Linked DNA regions of Canis lupus familiaris. The protein of the gene in region 2 purifies or fractionates together with the protein of the main gene of each other region. This does not show direct contact. Links are inferred from orthologs where the notes say so. Each region holds a gene or a part of one and is shown on either strand. Other genes may lie near its edges.

Region 1 (10,635 bases), on a different chromosome or scaffold from region 2:
CAGGGGCCAGCTGAGGTTTTCTCAGAAACGCCTTCCACCACATAGAGGTTAATCCTGGGGGCGTTACTGGGAAGGCCTGCTGGGGAAGCTGAGGGGGAGGCATCCAGGTAGAGTGAACAAGGTACGACGCCCTTCAATGAGGAGTGCTGGGGCTCTGTGGGAAACGGCACTAGGCCCCACTCCAGGGTGAATCCAGGGGCATGTTCTCCATCCTTGAGTTATTCCAGTGGGGAGGAATGTCCACACACGCCCAAGGTCCCCTTTCTACATCCATTGTCAACACTCACATTCCCTTTGAGGAGACCACAGTGTTTATTTCATGCCAAAAATGAACAATGTTTCCCTAATTAAAGATAACCCCACAAAAGAGGCCAACAGGCTATAGGACCCTATTGTATTACTTCGGACCCAGGACCACGCCTTGGGAACAGCTGTGGCCACTCAGCCCAAGACCAGGTCTAAGGGACAGAGGCTGAGTCTGCCCTTCGGATGGAGACCTGGACACTGAGCAGATTCAGTCTGGGCTTCCTGCTGGTCTGAGTTCAAGAGGGTCACTGTCAGAAGAAAGCTTTTGTTTGGCATCAAGAGCTTCAGATTGAAGAGTCAAACAGCAGAAAGATGCCGGCAGCTTGGCACCCATGATTGGGGTGGCCCACAGCGTGAGCAGAACACGACTTGGGCAGCCTCACACTCTTCCTCAGGCCACCGGTCCTGGTTCAGCCAAAATTGTTTACTCAGAGGTGGGCAGTGACTCCTTGGAACCGTTTCTGTTCCCAGGAGGGGTGGGGGACCAGCCATGATCCTATCCGTCCCGTCCATCGAGCTGGAACATGGAGGAGAAAGGGAATCAGTCCTGTAGATCTCAGGGCCTGGGTTCCAACTATTTAATCAAATAAAAGCTTTTCTGCCTCTGCCAATGCTGCCATTGAGCCCAAGTAACACGATGCCAGCAGGGCTGGGCGGCAAAACACAGGGCTTCATTTAAGTAACCAGGTGAGATGTGCTGAAGCTCACAAGCTCAAAAATAGGCATTATTTGTGGAATTAACCCCAAGGTGGACTGCAGTTCATCCCTCGGTATTTCCTATTGGATAGCAACTCTTCGTATGCGTAAACCAAAACCAGAACCCACTTTACATAAAATTATAAAGATTTTAATTACATCTTCACATAAGATTATAAAATCGCACAGACCAAAGTCTGTAGGACTTCTTCCAAAAGTCCTTGGGGGCCACTTGGCTTAGTCTTGTACGGAAATAGGACGTCAGAGCCAGGAAGCTGCTAGGTGGATCTGACCAAAGCACCCGCTGCCTGTCTTCCTGATGTGCAAAGTATAGGCTCCGGAGCTACCTGCATTCTCTACTTCCCTAAAATGATCCAGCAATATGACTTTGACATTTATAATAAGATAAGGGGTGATACCAGCCTACATCTTAGCCATTAGAGCCAAACTCTGGAATGGAGAGATAGAAAAAATAGCAGCCACAATGTCTAAAATGTGTGGAAGTCTCCTGGCCTTAATAAGCCTTATATTCTTTCTTTGGTTCAACTTGGTAAGAAAGCAGACTGCAGCCAGAGGCTGGGGGCTTCTGCCCGGAAGGGTGAGGGGAAGGCCTGACCCCGGACCCGAGACCCCTGCCCCCCTGGGCGGTGTCACATGAGGATCCTCAGTGATGACTGGACTTCGAAAGCTTAATGCTGCCTCCTTTAGAAAATCAGCACTCACGCCAGGGCCACGCATGCTAACCGATTCTCCTGGGAAACTTCACTTGGAACAGGTTTGGAACCTCAGGAGCACCGAGCGTCTTTGGCTTTGCACCCACAGCGGATCGATACGGGCCAGCAGCTCTCGTGATCATCACAGGAGTGCATTCCCAGGGTGGGCTTCACCCCACACCAGCACACACAAGTTCAGCTCCTCAAAGCTCATCTCCGAGCCACACTCAGCCTGGAGCTAGCTGCTGGCGGTGCTTTACTTAGAGGACCCAGCCGGTCTGCCCGCACCCAACCGCAGCTCCGTCGCTGGGGAACAGGCAGCCAGCGTCGCTCTCATAAGCACACGGACAGCCTCGGACAGTGGCCGGGACTGGGTTAACACCGATGTGCGCTATTCCTGTCACTGTCTTAGCCAGCTAGGGCTCCACATCAGGGGCACCTGGACCCCAGAGCAGCGAGGACCCTGCTTGCAGTCTGTACCTTTTCGGTTTCCTGCTGGATGAGGTCCTGCAGCTCTTCTCTCCAGCCCAGAAGCTCCACCAGCCTTTCCACGCTGTGAACCACATCCCCCAGCTGGACCACATCCCTGCTGCGAGGACACCAGGCAAAGGGCCCCACCACGTCCCGGTTGATGAGCAGTCGGGGCACTGAGCTCCGCACAGCCTCAGACAAGCTGGCGAAAGGTTCTACCTGAAAAATTGCCCACACGTGAGGAGGCCAGCACCCACCCTGTCCTCCAAGCCCCGCAGGACACGTTATGCACAGCCTGAGGCTTTGAAAGAGCAGCTCAGACCGATGGTAAGGCCTTGGATACAGGGCACATACACCACCATTTCCTTCTAGTCACGCAGCCTGCCCGGGCTCTAGGCCTGGGTCCCTCTATGTCTCTGTCCATGTCCTTCTGCTTCCCACACTCCTGGCCTCTGCGGGTCTCCCTGCCCAGGCGCATCTGGGGTCCAGCAACTGCGCCCTCTTTTATCTGTCCTGTCCCACCACACACGTCTCCTCCCAGCAGCATCTCGTCTGTCTGCCCTCACTCCTTGGGAGCAAGGACCTGGGCTCACAGGGGGCTCCTGGGGCACCCACAGGGGTGGATGCCCCACCTCTGCACACTCTCCACTATTCAGACTTCTAGGGAGTCCCAACTCGGTGCCTTTGGGCTGCTTCATCCAGCTCCCACGTGAAATTTCCATTCAGAAGCAATAATATAAGAAAGAGATAATTGAGACTGGCTTATTATCTGGGAGGAAAATGCTCAATTCCTGCCTTCGCTGAAAAAATTTCGGGTGAGTGAAAGAAATGTTACGTGATTTACATGTAAACAAAACAATTCTTAAAGAAAACTTAGGTTTTATAAGTAAAGGTAGGAAAGGACTCTTAAGGCCTGATAAGTCAAGTCAGATGAGACAAAGGAAAGTCATGATAGGTCTGACTACATAATACTATCACATTATTATCTACATAAAAATACGACGTAGAAAATAATTTTTAAACCTCATCACCATAAACTGCAAGCATTTTACAACATGTGACAAATATTGCTAATTGCTAAACTAATTTTAAACATTTTATATCATTTATGGATTTATATTGCTAATTTAATGACTAAGAAAAAAAAGAATGAAAATGAGCAAGAGATACAAATATTCAATCCAAAGAGAATACAGTGGTTAATAAAACATGAAAAGATGAACTTCAATATTACAGAAATGTGAGATCTCCCTCTCTTCCTCTCTCTCTCTCACACACACACACAATTTCTAGCCAAATCAGATGGATAAACTTAAACACAGGTAATGTTTGCTGTTGGGGAGGATGAGGAAAATGGCCACTCATATACAACTGGTGACAGTTTACGTAGTGTATTTTTCTGGAAGGCAACTTCTCAGTATTTACTGAGGTACTCACATGAATGTGTGAACATGTGTACACTTGGTTATTCACTACATCATTATTTTTAATATAAAATCTATATACTTTATTTTTGTTGCCCATCAATAGAAATTTGCTTATTCATCCATCATCCCTTATCTTAAAACTCTGGGGGCTAGGTGTGTTCCAGAATTCAGAATATTTCAGATTTTAGAAAACATCATTTGGTTTATATACAATTATTATGTCACAACTCAGTGGGATCTGGAGGGGCAATTAATAATCAAGTTTATTGCTGAGTATTTCTTCCACACAGCATATGAGATGAAGTTGGAGCAATACTGCAGATTACTCGGTGCTAGAGACAAGCACTCTGATTGGGGGGTCCCAGCAGGGACACTGGGCGCTAACAAGGTAGTTGGTCTCTATGCATGGTGCTGCCCCACCTCTGGTTAAAGGTCACCACAAGGTGCAGCAGAGAAGCTGTGAGGACACCGCATAACACTCGTAGTGCTGGAGGGGGTGGAGGGATTCCTTCCTTTGCCCTCGATCTATGTGATGTATGAACACTGCCCTCTGCGGCGTTACCTGGCCACCCGCCATCGCCACCCGGACCACCACCTGCAGGGTCTCCAGCAGCTCTCCCCGCCACAACACCTGCGGGGTCAGGAGGTCAGACCCTGTCACTGTTGCCCTCTGTTCGCTCACTCCATGTGGCTGTGGCCACTGCGCAGTGCCTGCTGCCAGACACCCTCAGCTGACACGTGCATCCCCTTCTGCCCTCAGCTCCGGGGTCCCCTTCCGACAGTCATGGAAACCAAGCTGATGTCCCAATCAGTTCCTAACCCTTCCCAGCCTTCCTGTCCATGTGTCAGCACCTAACACTGTGTCACTTGCTTGCAACATCGTATTGTCTGTCCAAGGCCCTACAACAGGGCCCGGCACACAGCGGGCGCATTTGCTGGATGAATGCACCTAACTCTAGGCCTCTGTGGCCAACCACACAGGCCACAGAGTACAGGCCTTTCTGGCGCTTCTGCTCCTCGGCACCAGCACCCAACCAGGCAGAGCTCATCACAGGGTCGTGTTTGTTGCTCTTGTCACATCCTGAGCTTCAGATCTAGAGGTAGACCAGCTTCTAGAATGTGTCCACAGGTGTGTCCTAGGTACCTCAAACACAATTGTACAGAACTGAGCTCGGAACCCTCCCTCCAAATACCTTGTTACCAAAAAAAGGCCTGAGTGCCCACAGACACAACCAGACCACTCCATCTCCTGTCCCCAAGTCCAGCCGTTCTTCTCTTTGCCCTCTCTCATGGTCAGATGATCTGACCGGGCCCACAGCCTCACCTTCATGAGAACCCACCTCCCAGGCATCTCCTTCAATCCCCACTCCCCAGCAGGTTCTGGGACCTTGAGCACTGGCTAAGCCCCTGGCTCAACCACTTCAAGTCTACCGCTTCTAGCACAAAACCAGCCTCTGTGATGTGGCCTGGTAAGTCTGTCCTGCCCTACTCTCCAGGTCCCTCCTTCCTCCCTTCCCTTACACACCGTGCCCCACCCATGCTGATGGTGCCTCCAAAGCTGAGCACCCTCCCTCTTCCCCATTCTGCCCAGACTGCCAATCCCTTGGCCAGGAATACCTCTGCTTCCCGACCAGTTGAACCTACTCATCTTCCGAAGCTAGGACGCCAGATGTGAAGGCTCCAAGAGCAGCTGGTGCCACCCCCAGCAGCCTCACCTCCTCGGCCCTGTCCTTATAGCCTCCCCTGCCCCTGCACACTCAGTCCACCACTGGACCTGCTGACAAACCTCCAGGGAGGTCCCGAGGATGAGCAGCATATCTGCCATTGGGAAATCAAGTACATGCAGCAGGAACCTCTGAGGCAGTGTCTCCCCAAAGAACACGATGTCAGGCTTCAAAACGCCAGTGCACACTGGGCAGCGGGGGATCTTGTCCATGCTCACGTCGGCCTGTGCAACACACATAGACAACAGGCCAAGGACAATGTCACGACATACTCAGGCTGCCAGACGGGAGGGGGCGGGGTGGGGAGTGCACTTGCTGTGAGGAGCACCAGGCGACGTATGGAGGTGAGTCACTAGATCGTACACCTGAAACTAATGTAACACTGTACGTTACCTAATTTAAATAAAACTTTTTAAAAAGACTGCTTTTACTAAGAAATTTTCAAACATTCATAACAGCTGAATAATGAACCCAGATTTGGCATTTATTGACATTTTGCCAATTTTGTTTCAATGGCTCCCTGAAACTGGGGACACACTGGAGTATTTGAAGGTGCATCCTGAAGAGCCCATGATATCTAGCACATGTAACGCCAGGCTGTGCCCTTCAGGGGCTTATCAGAGACATTCAGATGCTAAGGAAATAGTATGTGACACAGTCCTCAGGAGGTACTCTGCAGGCATTTGGCCTACACTAAACATGATTCAATGAGAAAGCTGGTATAAAGTTTGTACCTGATTGAAGTGATCATGACATCACCCTAGACCTGGAAGGCATTCAAGCAGGAGCTGTAAGCAGTGTTGCCACAGACCACTAGCTTGCAGGCCAAGGTGAGGTAGACGCAAATCACTGCTCTGCCCTAAGATGCCTGTGTTCATGTGCTGGGCTGGGTGTCAAAGGAAGGAGCCTAAGAACGAGGACAACAGCTTCCTAAGACAAACCTTCCTGGCCCTGTCTTAGCAAGCTGAGCCCAGCCAGAACCAGCAGACACAACAGACCAAGGAGACACTACTCAGAGACTTCAGATACTATTAGAGACACATTAAGGCCATTTTGTGTTTAACTTTTTTTTTAAAAAAAGGGTTTGAAGTATCTGTTGGGGATAGAAAACTATAAAAAATAATGTAGTGGATTTGAAAAAGAACCAAAGAGAACTTCTAGAAATAAAAGTAACAAAAATTAGGAAGGCATTATTGTGATGAGCACTGGGTGTTGTATATAGGTGATAAATCACAAAGTTGTACTCCTGAAACTGATACTGTGATATATGTTAACTAACTAAATTTAAATAAAAATTAGGAAGAAAAAAATGGGGCAAGTAATTCAGATCTGGAAATGAGCCCACAGCTGGTTGAGGTTTCACATCTCATTAAACCTTTTCCAAACAAAAAACAGTAACAAAAATTAGCACTTAGTGGAAGAACCTTATTTTATACAACAGAATAGAAGGTTGGTAAACTGGAAAATAGATCAAAAGACATTATTCAGAACACAGCACAGAGAAGCAAGATGGAACACACAGAAGAGCCATGGGTGGGAGCGTGAGGTCTCATGGGAGTTTAAGTAGAGCTCCACAAGGGAGGTGAGGGAGTGGGAGATGCAATCGACATCTGAGAGGCAACAGCCAGGGATTTTTCCACTAATGATGAAAACCACAGATTCAGAAAGCCCTATAAATTTTAAGCAGAATAAGTAAACAAAAGGAAATCCATATGGAGAGTTACCCCAGTAACAGTGTAAAACTCTAAAACTCCAAAGACAAAGAGAAAAGATTTAAAAATAAGCAGAGAACAGATACAAACTGATTCTAAAGTTTATATGGAAAGCAAAAGACCAGAATAGCCAACACAATATTGAGGCAAAGAACAAGACTGACACTATCTGACTTCAAGACTTATTATAAAAAGCCACAGGAATCAGGACTGTGGCTCTATTGTAGGGAGCAGAAGAATAGATCAGGGGAACAGAACAGAGAGGCTGGAAGTACCCTCACACAAACACAGTCAACTCTTCTTTGACAAAGGACCAAATCTCATCTCTTCAACAAATGGTGCTGGACATTATGAAAATTAATAAAGGGAAACCCTGCTAATGTGGATTCAGGAGGTCGGAAGGAGCCCTACTGCTCAAACATCAATCACACGAAGAAGTGTGAACTACAGACCCAACAGAAGAACCCTCAACAGGAAGAACCATCAACGGCAGGTCCCAACAGGGGAAGATGTGCACCCCCCCTCTACAACAAATTGGCTACCCCAGCGATCAGCTGGTGAGACACCATCATTCCCCAGACCTGTCTCTCAAGCCCCTCCCTACTCCTTCCTCTCCATCAAATGTCCCTCTCCTTTGTTGTTTGGACGTGCCTACGGTTTTGTCATAGCTTGCTTGTCCCAAATTACAATTTTCCACTCTCCTGAATAAACCCATTTTGTTGGTAAAATAGTAGGCAGTGTTATTTTTAAGGAAAACTTTACCTGGTGTCAGAAGTGGGACGCAGGCAGCTACCTCCAGCGGCTCTGAGGCTGGTGAGCACACACACAGGTGCCGGTCCCCACAGACCTGGTCAGGCTTGCTGCTCTCTTGCCGGCCCTGGGGTTTGAGAATAAGTCGTCTCCTGGACATGAGCTTCACTCTCTGTTCTGAGCTCTCCAGCCTTTATTCAGGACCTGTTTTAAGGCTTTGTCCTTCCTGAGAGTACTTGTTTGGCCTTTGGTCTGACTCCTTTCTAAAGCTAGGCTGTTCCTACTGGAACTGTGCCGTTTAGATATTGTTCTCTTCCCTCTAGAGAAAAGCCTCTGGGAAGTGGGATGCCAGCGATCAAAATGCTGTGAGGACGGCCTTGCCCCCACACTTCTGGGACCTCAGCCAGTTCTAGGTTTCAGAATGGTGGCCCCTCCTCGTGTGCATTCTTAACTAAATGGACTGACTCAACCAAAAGGCATTCACAACCTCAACAGCCATCGTGGGGAACCTCCCATCTCCCCAAATTGACTTTTCTCACAATGGAATTGGACAGCCATGGCTGGAAACTTGTCAACACTGAATTGGATGCTTATTTTAATTGGTACCTCAAGGCTTCCAAACATTTTTAGGATTCAAAGTTTGTTTTGCCTCAGTTAATTTAGAAATAGTATTTTGCAAAGAGGCAAACAACTGTAAGAAGTCAACGGGGCTTCTGAGGCCTCTTCCCCTTCCCATCCTCTTTGTCTCCAGACAGGTGGGGCCACCTTATACTCGGGCCCTGCCTCTGGAGCCTTTTCCCTCTTCCTTTGGCACTGGCCCTCCCCTCCCCTATACCCATTCCTCCTTCTAATCCTTTCACTGAGCTTCCCTTTATCTCCAAACCTCTCCCCACCCCTCCTCTCCTGACCCTATTAACACCTACCCCTCTAAAGTAAACTCTGCTGGAGGTCCAAATGAATGCCAAATGGCTTATGCTGCCCGGACTAAGGCTGAATTTGGAGCTGTACTGAAACAATTTCCCAAAGTGACTGAGGACCCTATACGTTTGCTGAAGATTTAACACAGTTATTCAAACTTACTGATCTGATTTCTCAGATTTGTATCAATTGGTCCACATGCTTGCTGCTGAGGGTCAGACCAAACGCTGGATGAAACCAGCTCAATGGGAGCACCCTGAAAGGGATTGAGAGAAACAGATGCCTAAGTTTTGGCAAAGTGCTAGAACTCGCTAGAAATCTCCACCAAAGGATTACAGTACCTCTTCCTAAGCCTGCTGACTGGACAGGATTCAAGCTTGCACAGAAAAGCCTGATGAAAATGTTCATGACTATACAACTGACACCACACTGTCTTCAAAGAAACTGTACACTCCAGGTTTATTTAATTTGGCAAACCACCTCTCTGGCATCCTAGATGAGTCACCTAAAAGAAAGACCACTATCATTCTCAATTTTCACTCCAGTAAATGGAGGCCTCTAAACAACCAGCTCCCCCACCCCAGCTTCCCCACAGCTCCCCCCCACCCCACTTGTTTCTGCTGCTTTTTAAAAAAGATTTAATTTATTTATTCATGAGAGACAGAGGGAGAGAGAGAGAGAGAGAGGCAGAGACACAGGCAGAAGGAGAAGCAGGCTCCATGCAGGGAGCCCAATGTGGGACTCGATCCCCAGTCTCCAGGATCAGGCCCTGGGCCGAAGGCAGGCGCTAAACCGCTGAGCCACCCAGGGATCCCCTCTGCTGCTATTACACAGAGCAAGAGTTGCAGCAAATGACTTTTCAGAGATAACACCAAAGGCACAATTCATGGAAGAAAAATATATTAGACCTCATTAAAGTGAAAAACCCTGCTCTGTGAAAGACACTGTCAAGAAAATGAGAAGACAATATTTTCAAAGAAGAAGAAAATATTTACAAAAGACATCTGATAAAGGATTGTTATCCATAATATACAAAAAATTCTTAAAACTCAATAATAAGAAAATGAGCAACCTAATTTAAAAATGGAAAAAATAAATAAATAAATAAAAAATAAAAAATAAAAATGGGCCAAAGACCTGAGTAGACAGCTCACCAAAGAAGATGCATAGGTAGCAAATGAGCATTTGAAAAGATACTCCACATCATATGTCACCATGGAATTGCACATTAAAACAACACAATACCATTACACACCTATCAGAACAGCCAAATTCTAGAACATGGACAAAACCAAATGCTGCGTGCTCTTACTCACTGCTGGTGGAAATAGAAAGTGGTACAGCCACATTGAAAGGCACTAAACATGCACCGACCATACAATCCAGCACTCATGTTCCTTGGTATTTACCAAAGATGCTGAAAAGTCATGTCCATGCAAAAATATCGCATGTGGATGTTTATAGCAGCTTTGTTCATAATTGCCAAAACACAGAAGCGGCCAAGATGTCCTTTAGTAGATGAATGGATAACTAAGGCCCAGCCACACAAGGGAATATTATTCAACACTAAAAAGATGTGAGCTATGAAGGCATAAAAAGACGTGGAAGAAACTTAAAGGCATCTAACTGATGGAAGTCAGTCTGAAAAGGCTGCATATGTATGAGTCCAACTCTGAAATTCTGGAAAAGACAAAACCATGGAGACAGTAAAAGGATCAGTGGTTCCCCAGGGTTGTGTACCAGGGGTTAACTGATTAGTGGGTACAGTTTTCCTTTGGGGTGATGAAAATGTTCTGGAATCAGACTGAGGTAGTAGTTGCACAACACTGGGAAATATATTAAATGCTAATGAATTGTACACTTCAAAATGTTTAATTTTATGGTTATGTGATTTTCAACTCATTAAAAAATAAAACAA
Region 2 (10,635 bases):
TGATTTAGGGATGCCTGGGTGGCTTAGTGGTTGAGTGTCTGCCTTTGGCCCAGGGCATGAGATCCCAGAGTCCTGGGATTGAGTCCCGCATCGGGCTCCCTGCAGGGAGCCTGCTTCTCCCTCTCCCTGTGTCCCTACCTTTCGCTCGGTGTCTCTCATGAATAAAATCTCTAAAAAAAGAAGTTTCTCCTAGATCCCTTTTGGTTTTGCTATTCTTCATGTTGAGGCTTGTTTAATGGTGGTTTGTCCATGAATATTTGAAAGCAAGGGACGAGTGTATTGGCTGCGGAATTTCACTGTACAGCGATCGGGGGAGCCACCCTTTTCATCGGAGGGACTCTCAGAATCAGAAGTCTTTGTTTTACTACATGATTCTCTCTAGTCCTAGAGAAATACGGGAGTAGAAATGCTGGCTAGCTACCGGCATTCTGGAAGGTAAGTGATGGATAGAAGATAGAGTTGGGTTCCTAATGTATGGACGTCTCTGGCTACCGCTTTCAAGGGGGTTTACGACTGCCTAGATCCTGGCTTAGGGGTTCATTCCAGCCTGGCTCTTCGGTCTAAGAACGTAAGCTCTTCATACCCAGCTCCCATCGGAGGTTTACCACCTAATAGCTCGGAGACTTTGTATAAGCTACTTAACCTTTCAGCCTATTTACTTCGTGTGGCATAGGTTTAGTAAGGAGTCCCTAATCCAAGGTTCCGGACTTAAACCAAGTATTTAGTTCAGTGTCTAGCACAGAACACTAATTTTTTCCTCTGCTCGTGTCTTTAGGCTGGCCGTGCTCTAATCTTTTAAAGTCCAGGTGTTTTTCATCTCTTACCTTTTCTTATAATCACTTAGCTTGGCCTTTAAGGTAATTAACTATATAAACCCTTTCTCTAACGTTTGATATTGCTTTGCCTTTTGCTACTTCTACAGGCAAAACTATATTCTAGGCATGTCTTGCTTACTTAAAATGCCTTTTATTTAGTCCCCTTTAATCTGTTGTCATTCTGTTTCTAACCTGGGCAAAGCACAGGTAGTTCTAGGTGCAAATTTCAAGTGACTGGCTTTTGATCTGTGATTATTTTTCCTTTTGTCTGAGCTTTGCATACCAAGGGCATTTGCCTTAAACCGTAGCTTATCCCAGTCTCTAAAACGGCAGCCCCAAGGCCAAACTGAGCAGCAGACTAGGTCCTTTGGCACAGGTGAAAGCAAGAATGTAGATGTTAAACATGATCTTGTGCTTTCAATTTATAATGTAGTAAATCTAGAAAACAAAGTTATGTTTTAAAACTCATTTTGCCCCAAACATGCATTCAGCCAGTTTTAAAAATAAGCCACACACACACAAAAATTTAAAAAAGCCACATTTCCATCGATCCGGGGTCTCCAGGATCAAGCGCTGGGCTGAAGGCGGCGCTAAACCGCTGAGCCACCCGGGCTGCCCCTGCCTTAAATTCTTAATAAAGGTAAAGATACTGGATCAGGCCAGGCCTATCAAGTAAGGATGCCCTTCCCCACTACTAATGATGCTTGAAAGGCACACCTCTCTCCTTTCCACTTAGTACACTCCTACTACAAACTCTTCCCTTCTCACCTAACAGGAACCCATTTTTTTTCTTATAATCTCTACATGCAGTGTGGGGTTCAAACTCACAAACCCAAGATCAAGTCCCATGCTCTTCCAACTGAGCCAGACAGGTGTTCCAGGAACCCATTTCTTATTATGTGGAGGCTTTGAAGCAGGAATTATAACCTCCATAAGAAGGGACAAAGACCTCAACACACAAAATACTGTCCCCACAGGAACTTCCCATTACCTATGTTGTAATATAATCGTCTTTAGCAAAGAGAAACAGGAGACTACTCCAGGTAGAATAATGTTTTACACACTTGTGCCAAACTCTACCCCTCCATCCACTGGCTTTCATTTATCTTCTAGATCATGGAAAGGCTAACACAATTAACTTTAAACAAATTTTTATTACACAAAGGTTGTCACATAATTGGATATTTTTCTACTTTGTACACAATTATTCTTACTCTCCACAGAAAGGCTGCTTAACTTTTCATCTGGTGATGGCAAACACTAAAATCCTGATTTTAACAGAATAGTAGTAAAAATGCCTCAGTGATTTAAGTTGAAAGCAGTACATTGGTACATGGCTCTTGCACTCAGTTATCAGGAATGTACAAATGTCTTTTTATTCAAAAATACAAAATAAATTATCTGTAGGCATGGACAATGACAGCAGTAAACCATTATATGTTGTCAACTGAAACCAGTAACTGATGGTTATAGCGATTTTCTTAAACATCAGCCAGCCTTTTCTTCAGTCATTTCCTTGAACTGACTTCTCTGAAGTTATGGTTGAGGAACACAGCCTTGAGCTTCCTCTCACAGTTCATTAAGAATGGTAAAGCACTATTCTAGGAATCAGAACATGCCGCCTCCCATACCACCTCCCATTCCACCCATTCCACCCATTCCTGGGTCCTTCTCTTCTTTAGGAATTTCGGTGACTACAACTTCTGCCGTGGTTAACAGAGAGGCCACTCCAGCAGCATCCAATAAAGCAGTTCTTACCACCTAAGAAAGAAGTTTGATAAATATATTACCTTTTTCCTTAGTGAAAAATGAACAAGACTTTTAGAAAATGATCAACTATTTACCTTAGTTGGATCAATGATTCCTTTTTCCACCATATTCACAAAATCTCCAAGCATAGCATCATAACCAACTTCTGAGGAACTCTGCATAATTTTCTCAACTATCAATGATCCTTCAACACCTGCATTCTTAGCAATGGTCATTGCAGGAATTTTGAGTGTTCTCTTAATAATTTCGATACCTAAAGATAAAGTTTAGCAAATTATAGTTTCTTTTTTTCTTTTTTTTAAGATTTTACTTATTCATGAGAGACAAAGGCAGAAACACAGGCAGAGGGAGATGCAGGCCTCCTGCAGGGAGTCCCATGCGCAACTGGATCCCCAGTCGACCTGGATCACACCCTGACCCAAAGGCAGATGCCCAACCGCTGAGCCTCCCCAGGCATCCCCAGTTTCATTCTTTTGTAAAAATTAAAATTCTATTTGTCCACAGGTCAAATCATTCCCCCTGGACATGACTGCATCTTTCATTTATTTTCTAATTATCAGTGCTCTTCTAATGTTATTCTGGAATCTTTGTGGTTTATTGTTCTATTTAATGGGCAACTGCATTCTGAAAGACTAAAATCAGGTTGCAAATCAACTCATGAAAGGCAATTTTACCAATTCTTTGATCTTCATTAGCTGGAGTTATTGAATCCAAGGCTGGAATGCACCGAAGCAGGGCACAACCTCCTCCCAGAACAATGCCTTCTTCAACAGCAGCTCTTGTGGCATTGAGGGCATCTGTAACTCGGTCTTTCTTTTCATTCACTTCAACATCACTTGTCCCACCAACCTAATGATTAAAAGAATTCCAGTTAGTATGGGTTTTGCCCATTCAAGATGCTGACTGGCAAGAGTCACTGAAAAGCACGGAGTTCACTTAAAAACATGTAAAAAAAAGGTCGCCTATTTGTTAAAAGTGACTGCATGATTAAAGAGCTAATAGGGTCAGTGCAGTGTCTCACATCAGTCCAACACACTATCATTAACAAAACACCTTTTTCCTTAGCAATACCAAGTTCACTTCTGGCTTTAAGGGGAGTATTCCAAAAAAATTTTATATAATATATATCTCCATGACAAAGTTATTTCCCAAAACCTTTTGGTTACACGGCACTATTGGAGAGTACCACAGAAACAAAATCATTCTTGGGTTCAGAACCCAAGAAACTCATTTACAACAATGAATCTTACCTTCAACACAGCTACTCCATCTGAGAGTTTTGCCAGACGCTCATTCAGCTTTTCCTTTTCGTATTCACTAGTTGTGATATCTAACTGCTCAATGATTTCTTGAATACGTTTTTCAATTTGAGCCTTGTCACCTTTTCCTTTTAAAAGCATGGCATCATCTTTGGTCACAATGACCTCTCCAACTTTTCCTAAGTCATGAGGCTGAACATCTTCGAGATTTAGAGTCAACCCTTCTTCCCCAAACACCTACAAAAATATTTAAAAATGAACCCGTTGCAGCTTGGTTTTTCATTATACCAAGTTTATCAGTAATACATCAGGTGGGTTTTTTGAGGAGATAAACATCTTAGAATACTGTATTTCTTTGAAATGTGAAATTTCAAGACAACGTCTAGTCCAGAGAAGACTTGATCAGGTTTTTCACTGCATTTCCCACTTCTCACTTAATCCTCAATCAGAATTAATTAGCTTTATTTCAGAAAAGTATAAACTCAATTCCCCTGAGGTCACACTTTTGGTGGAACCAGGACTAGACCTTAGACCTAAACAATTAAGTCCTATGTCTTTTCTATTGTATTGAACACAGATTAGTCAAATAATCCTATTCTTGGGCTAGACTCATAGCAAGTTAGAGAAGGGACCTGGGCACATTTAATCAAACCTTTACCTCGAAAACATCCAACAGAAACAAAAATGAATAGTTAATAATAAATGATTGTGAAAAACCTAAAATCTACCTATAAATTTTAGGCCTGGAAGTATATAACATTCAGTAAACCAACATCACATATATTTTACTTACTGCACCACCAGTAGCAATAGCCATATCTTTAAGCTGGTTCTTTCTATTGTCACCAAAACCTGGAGCTTTGACTGCCACAACCTGAAGACCGACTTTTAGCCTGTTAAGAACAATAAGAATGAGATTTAAAGTTAATTAAAGTTCTTAGTACTAAGATTACTTAGGAAACCACACTTTTTTTAAAAAAGGTTTTATTTATTTGAAAGAGTGATGGGACGCCTGGGTGGCTCGGTGGCTCATGGTGTGATCCCGGGGTCCTGGGATTGAGTCCCACATCAGGCTCCTTGCAAGGAGCCTGCTTCCCCTCTCTGCCTATGTCTCTGCCTCTCTCTCTCATGAATAAATAAATCAAATCTCTTTAAAAAAAGAAAGCGAGCACATGAATGGGGGTGGGGGGGTGAGGCACCCAACATGGGGCTCAATCCCAGGACCCCCGAGGACCATGATCTGAGCTGAAAGCAGACATATAACTGACTAAGCCACCCAGGCACCCCTGGAAACCACACTTTACAATTTTTTGCTTCCTACCAACTTTTAGTCAAATTAAGACATGAAAGAGCAACTTTCCATTCATCCATATTTGCCATTACCTTTGTCAAAAATTGTTGACCTTACGGTTAAACTGAACCCAGGAAATAAATGCTAACATAAACAAAAAACTTTTAAGTTAACTACAGTGATAACTATACCCTATTTGTTCTATTTAGTAATGGATCAAGTTACTACTGAAGTTTGAGCAGTGTTCTTAATTCAGTTCCTTTACATATATAAGTGTTGCTGATAAATAGCATTAAGTTCACCTGCGATTTTATCATGTAATGAATATCTGGAATATATAATCAAAGGAATGTCCACTTGAGACCACACTGTGTGAAAAAGGAGTATTTAAACTGTTAAAGACAGAGTTGGTCTATTTTATTAAAGGGCCAAATAAAAATCAGAGGGACAGATAAACATAGTATGCCAAATCAATCAGCCATCCAAAGCTACAGACACCAGTAGATGGCTCAATGAAACTCTGGAGGTCTATTTTTTTTTTAATTTATTTTGACTTAAAATCCCACAATCTCATAAAGCTTTTCATAACCCAAAAAGCAAATCCAAGCTAACAAACATTCAAGGATAAGTCAACTCATTCGGAGCTTTTGTGTCAAGGTATGCACTCTCCCATATAACTATTTCATTTGTCCATTTCCATTACAATTGGAAAATTATTACTTCTAGAGCAGCCCAGGGGGCTCAGCGGTTTAGTGCTGCCTTCAGCCCAGGGCGTGATCCTGGAGTCCCGAGATCAAGTCCCACATCGGGCTCCCTGCATGGAGCCTGCTTCTCCCTCTGCCTGTGTCTCTCCTGAATAAATATAATCTTCAAAAAAAATTATTACTTCTAATATACCTCAATTCTAGGAATAGGAAGAATATGTATTTTAAAAACGTTCTAATATTCTTTCTTAAAATTTAATCTCCACACCCATGTGGGACTCGAACTCACAATCAAATCAAGATCAAGAGTCACATGCTCTTCTGACGGAGACAGCCATGCACCACAGTAAGGCCCTAACACTTTTATAGCAGGAGCTACTAGTCGTAAAGTAAAAAATCATATATTATAGTTTAAAAAATTAAGCGAAGAGACTTTATCTTAGATTGAATGTCAAATTCTCTATTTCAGACCATTAATTAAAATGTCCTTTGATGGGATGTCTGGGTGGCTCAGCAGCTGAGCGCCTACCTTCAGCCCAGGGCTGATCCTGTGGTCCCAGGATCGAGTCCCACATCGGGCTCCCTGCATGGAGCCTACTTCTCCCTCTCTCTGTGCCTCATGAATAAATAAATAAACTCTTAAAAAAAAAAAAAAAAGTTTTGGGATCCCTGGGTGGCGCAGCGGTTCAGCGCCTGCCTTTGGCTCAGGGCACAATCCTGGAGACCCGGGATCGAATCCCATGTCGAGCTCCCAGTGCACAGAGCCTGCTTCTCCCTCTGCCTATGTCTCTGCCTCTCTCTCTCTCTCTCTCTCTGACTATCGTAAATTAAAAAAAAAAAAAAAACTTAAAAAAAAAGTTTTGAGATTTGCTTTATTCATGAGACACACAGAGGCAGAGACCCTCTCCCTCTCAGCAGAGGGAGAAGCAGGCTCCCTGTGGGGAGCCTGATGCAGGATTTGATCTCAGGACCTCGGGATCACAGTCTGAGCCAAAGACAGTCAACCATTGAGCCACCCTTAAAATTTTAACAGATTATGTAACTAAATACGTTTTGACCTAAAATTGAAAAAAACCAATAGTTATAATTAAAAAATAGGTATCACATTCAAAATTAGGCTGTCTTATGAAAAACTTGCACAAAATATTAAGGACTTTCAAACAGAACTCATTCAAAAAGAACAAACCATTTTAACAGAGCTCACAAAGCATACCTGTATATATGCTAACACAAGTGGTGCAATGTGGGGGTACAAAAAGAGGATTTCAAACACCAATATAAAAAAACTTCCTTTCATCTGGAAATGTAAACCAAATACGAAAGCCTATTACCTATTTAAAACAAGTGTACTCAGAGCTTCTCCATCAACATCTTCAGCAATTATGACCAAGGGCTTACGGTGAGCATTGGCAATTTCAAGAGCAGGTACAATGGACTGGACACTAGAAATCTTCTTTTCACTCAATAGAACATAGGCATCTTGGAATTCACATTTCTGACCTGCAAAAATAAACATTTCAAACCAATTTAAGACATTATAACAATATCCTGAAAATAACTGCAATTTAGTTAAGTGAAAAAACTAGAAACCAAAGTTTTAGTACATCTCAAGTGACTGAGTTCATGTTTTCCCCTTCATTTCTCATTTACAATAACTTTTGGGATACCTAAGTTTATCTTTTAGAAGTATGACCTGATTAATGCTTACAGTGTGACCCATGGCAACCTGTATATTTTTTTAAATTTCATTTACTGACTTGTTCTTACCTTTCGACGTATTAATAAAGTATGGAGAAATATAGCCTCGATCAAACTTCATGCCTTCAATAATTTCCAATTCATCATTCAGTGTTTTTCCATCCTATAAAAATCAATTAGCTGTATGAATTTCATTACAGAAACACAAAAAGTTGTAATTATAGACCAGATTAGGAGACCGCACTGATCACAAGGGATCCAGGCGTGTAAGTATGCAAATACCCTAGGGGATCAAACTGCAATTTTGCAAAAATTTCAAAAATGCATTTTTAAATTTTTACATCTAGAAGAATAGTATTACTTAAGTTACAACGGATTCCTCCCTCACAGGGAAGGTTAAAAAATTCACACAGGGATCCCTGGGTGGCGCAGCGGTTTAGCGCCTGCCTTTGGCCCAGGGCACTATTCTGGAGACCCGGGATCGAATCCCACATCGGGCTCCCGGTGCATGGAGCCTGCTTCTCCCTCTGCCTGTGCCTCTGCCTCTCTCTCTCTCTGTGTGACTATCATAAATAAATAAAAATTTAAAAAAAATAAAATAAAGTGATAAAGTTTATAAAAAATAAAATAAAATAAAATAAAATAAAATAAAATAAAATAAAATAAAAAATTCACACACAATTCAGGAAATACTCTAGTCTATGTGAATGCTAAAACATGCATAAAGGAATCAAGCATGAAACACATCAATTTTTCTATTTGAAAACTGTTTTGATCAGACAACTCATCTCAAGCTATCATTAAAAACACTTACCTTTACTGTGATGACACCCTTTCTTCCAACCTTTTTCATTGCATCAGAAATGATGTTGCCAATTTCTTTGTCTCCATTCGCAGAAATCGTAGCAACCTAAAACAATCAAGTTACTCTTCCAAGTTACAAAGATAAGGCCAGCATCCTCAGTCAGCTCCCCTCCCTTTTCCTAGTAACTTCAAAACTGATATATTGGGGCAGGGGGAACCTATGGACAAGCAGATGTGTTCTAAGAGATCTAACAATTATTTTTAAACTTACCATTTGGCTACATTATTTTTAAAAGAAATAAAATAAACATATCATTCTTTTTTTTTAAAAAAAGGGAGAATATCCCCCCTTCTTGGAAAAAGTGGCAATATTCTAACATGACAAAAATTATGCACCTTTTGACAAATGGCTGAAGAACATCTTCCATACAAACAAATGAGTTTTACTCACAGCCATGTAAAATTAAAGTGACCACTAAGACTCTAGTTATGGTCACTGCATTATTTTCAGATGTTTTTTAAGCAGGAAGAAGAAATGCTTTCCATGTCAAGTGACTGGGTGATATCATTATTCTGACACTGGTATAGGATTATGGAATAAAATCACATTTATCATAAAATATGAAAAATCCTTACCTGTGCAATTTCTTCAGGGGTTGTCACGGGTTTAGACTGCTTCTTAAGTTCAGCAATTACAGCATCAACAGCTAACATCACACCTTATTCAAGAATAAATGCCATTACAAAGCTTATTCTCTCAGGGCTCCACACCAAGTAAAAATTTCAATCCAGGGATCCCTGGGTGGCGCAGCGGTTTGGCGCCTGCCTTTGGTCCAGGGCGCGATCCTGGAGACCCGGGATCGAATCCCATGTCGGGCTCTCGGTGCATGGAGCCTGCTTCTCCCTCTGCCTATGTCCCTGCCTCTCTCTCTCTCTCTGTGACTGTCATAAATAAATAAAAATGTTTAAAAAAAAAAAATTTTTTTTAAATTTCAATCCGTGTTAAATGTTTTAATGTTAATGGCCTATATAATGCATCTATGCCAGCACTTTTCCTAATTGCATGGAGTTGAATGGCACGCACCAAAACAGGAACGTTAGTAAGTGAAGACTCACAAGCCAAAATTATTTTGAAAACTGGACTAAAGGAAAAATACCAAGAGCATAATTTCAAGAATTTCACCATTCAACTCATTCTATGTAAGCTATTGACAATCCATCATGTTGCAGGTTTCCAACAGGGTCACCTAACACTTCCCTCAACTCTATGACAGGGTTATGCCCCTACAGCTTTTAATTATCCAAAATTTTCTCATTTAATATATAATCAAAAAATTTGCTTTAACAGTCAATAGGATCACAACATGGATTTATGAGAACCCAATTTTGTTCAACGAGTAGGATTAGTTCTGGCTCTTCCCTTTATTTTGAGAAATATAACTTAAAGAAAAAATCCAGGGACGCCTGGGTGGCTCAATGGTTGAGCATCTGCCTTCAGCCCAGGGTGTGATCCTGGAGTCCCAGGATCGAGTCCCACATCAGGCTCCCTTGCAGGGAGACTGCTTCTCCCTCCGCCTATGTCTCTGTCCCTCATGAATAAATAAATCTTAAAAAAAAAAACCAAAAAACTAGCATAGTACCCATCGCATAAGGCAGGCATCTAATTGCTATTTGCCAAAGGAAAACTCAATTTAAGACTTTTTTTTTGAGAGAGGAGAAACAAGACTTAACTTTAAGACACTTCAAAACACTGGCAACAATGAAGAGACTTTCCTACCTCTCCTGATTTCCACAGGATTAGCACCTTTGCTAATCTTCTCGAAGCCTTCCTTGGCAATAGAGCGTGCCAAGACAGTAGCAGTAGTGGTGCCATCCCCAGCCTCTTCGTTTGTGTTATTGGCAACATCTTGAACAAGTTTAGCGCCAATATTTTTATATTTGTCTTTTAAGTCAATTGACTTTGCCACGGTCACACCATCCTTTGTTACTTTGGGACTTCCCCAACTCTGCTCAATAATCACTGTTCTTCCCTATAATTAGAGGAAAAAAAGTGACAGAATCACATACCTGAGTGCATTTAGCTTGAAACACAATGAACAGTTTTTAATTACTTGAAAGCCTCAACACAAGTTGTCGCTTTTATTAAATGTGCAAGAATCTCAAAGGCAAATCCATCAGTGTTCCTAGCTTACTAACAAAATGACTTTTTCTGTTGCCAAATGCATAACCATGCATTGAGGGTTTTATGGAAGATAAAAATCCCAGAGACTAAAATTGTCATCTCATTAAAACAT

What was found.
Region 1: the proteins of HSPD1 (region 2) and SIRT3 purify together in Homo sapiens (affinity purification with mass spectrometry; 3 studies listed by BioGRID and IntAct, counting the BioPlex papers as one, with this or other methods). This does not show direct contact. The link is inferred for Canis lupus familiaris from reciprocal best matches to the Homo sapiens genes HSPD1 and SIRT3.

Annotation. Positions count from the first base shown.
Region 1 is NC_049239.1:25,721,075-25,731,709, forward strand, and holds the end of SIRT3 (NAD-dependent protein deacetylase sirtuin-3, mitochondrial), read right to left. Parts: intron 9,114-10,635; exon of another isoform or gene 9,059-9,113; intron 8,974-9,058; exon of another isoform or gene 8,880-8,973; intron 7,927-8,879; exon of another isoform or gene 7,812-7,926; intron 5,562-7,811; coding exon 5,400-5,561; intron 4,750-5,399; coding exon of another isoform or gene 4,726-4,749; exon of another isoform or gene 2,412-4,725; intron 2,406-2,411; coding exon 2,196-2,405; intron 824-2,195; coding exon 803-823; 3' UTR 292-802; downstream 1-291.
Region 2 is NC_049258.1:6,887,881-6,898,515, forward strand, and holds the end of HSPD1 (60 kDa heat shock protein, mitochondrial), read right to left. Parts: intron 10,372-10,635; coding exon 10,119-10,371; intron 9,061-10,118; coding exon 8,978-9,060; intron 8,448-8,977; coding exon 8,352-8,447; intron 7,701-8,351; coding exon 7,607-7,700; intron 7,340-7,606; coding exon 7,171-7,339; intron 4,738-7,170; coding exon 4,638-4,737; intron 4,082-4,637; coding exon 3,836-4,081; intron 3,435-3,835; coding exon 3,260-3,434; intron 2,839-3,259; coding exon 2,660-2,838; intron 2,577-2,659; coding exon 2,424-2,576; 3' UTR 1,950-2,423; downstream 1-1,949. UniProt on the Homo sapiens protein: Chaperonin implicated in mitochondrial protein import and macromolecular assembly. Together with Hsp10, facilitates the correct folding of imported proteins.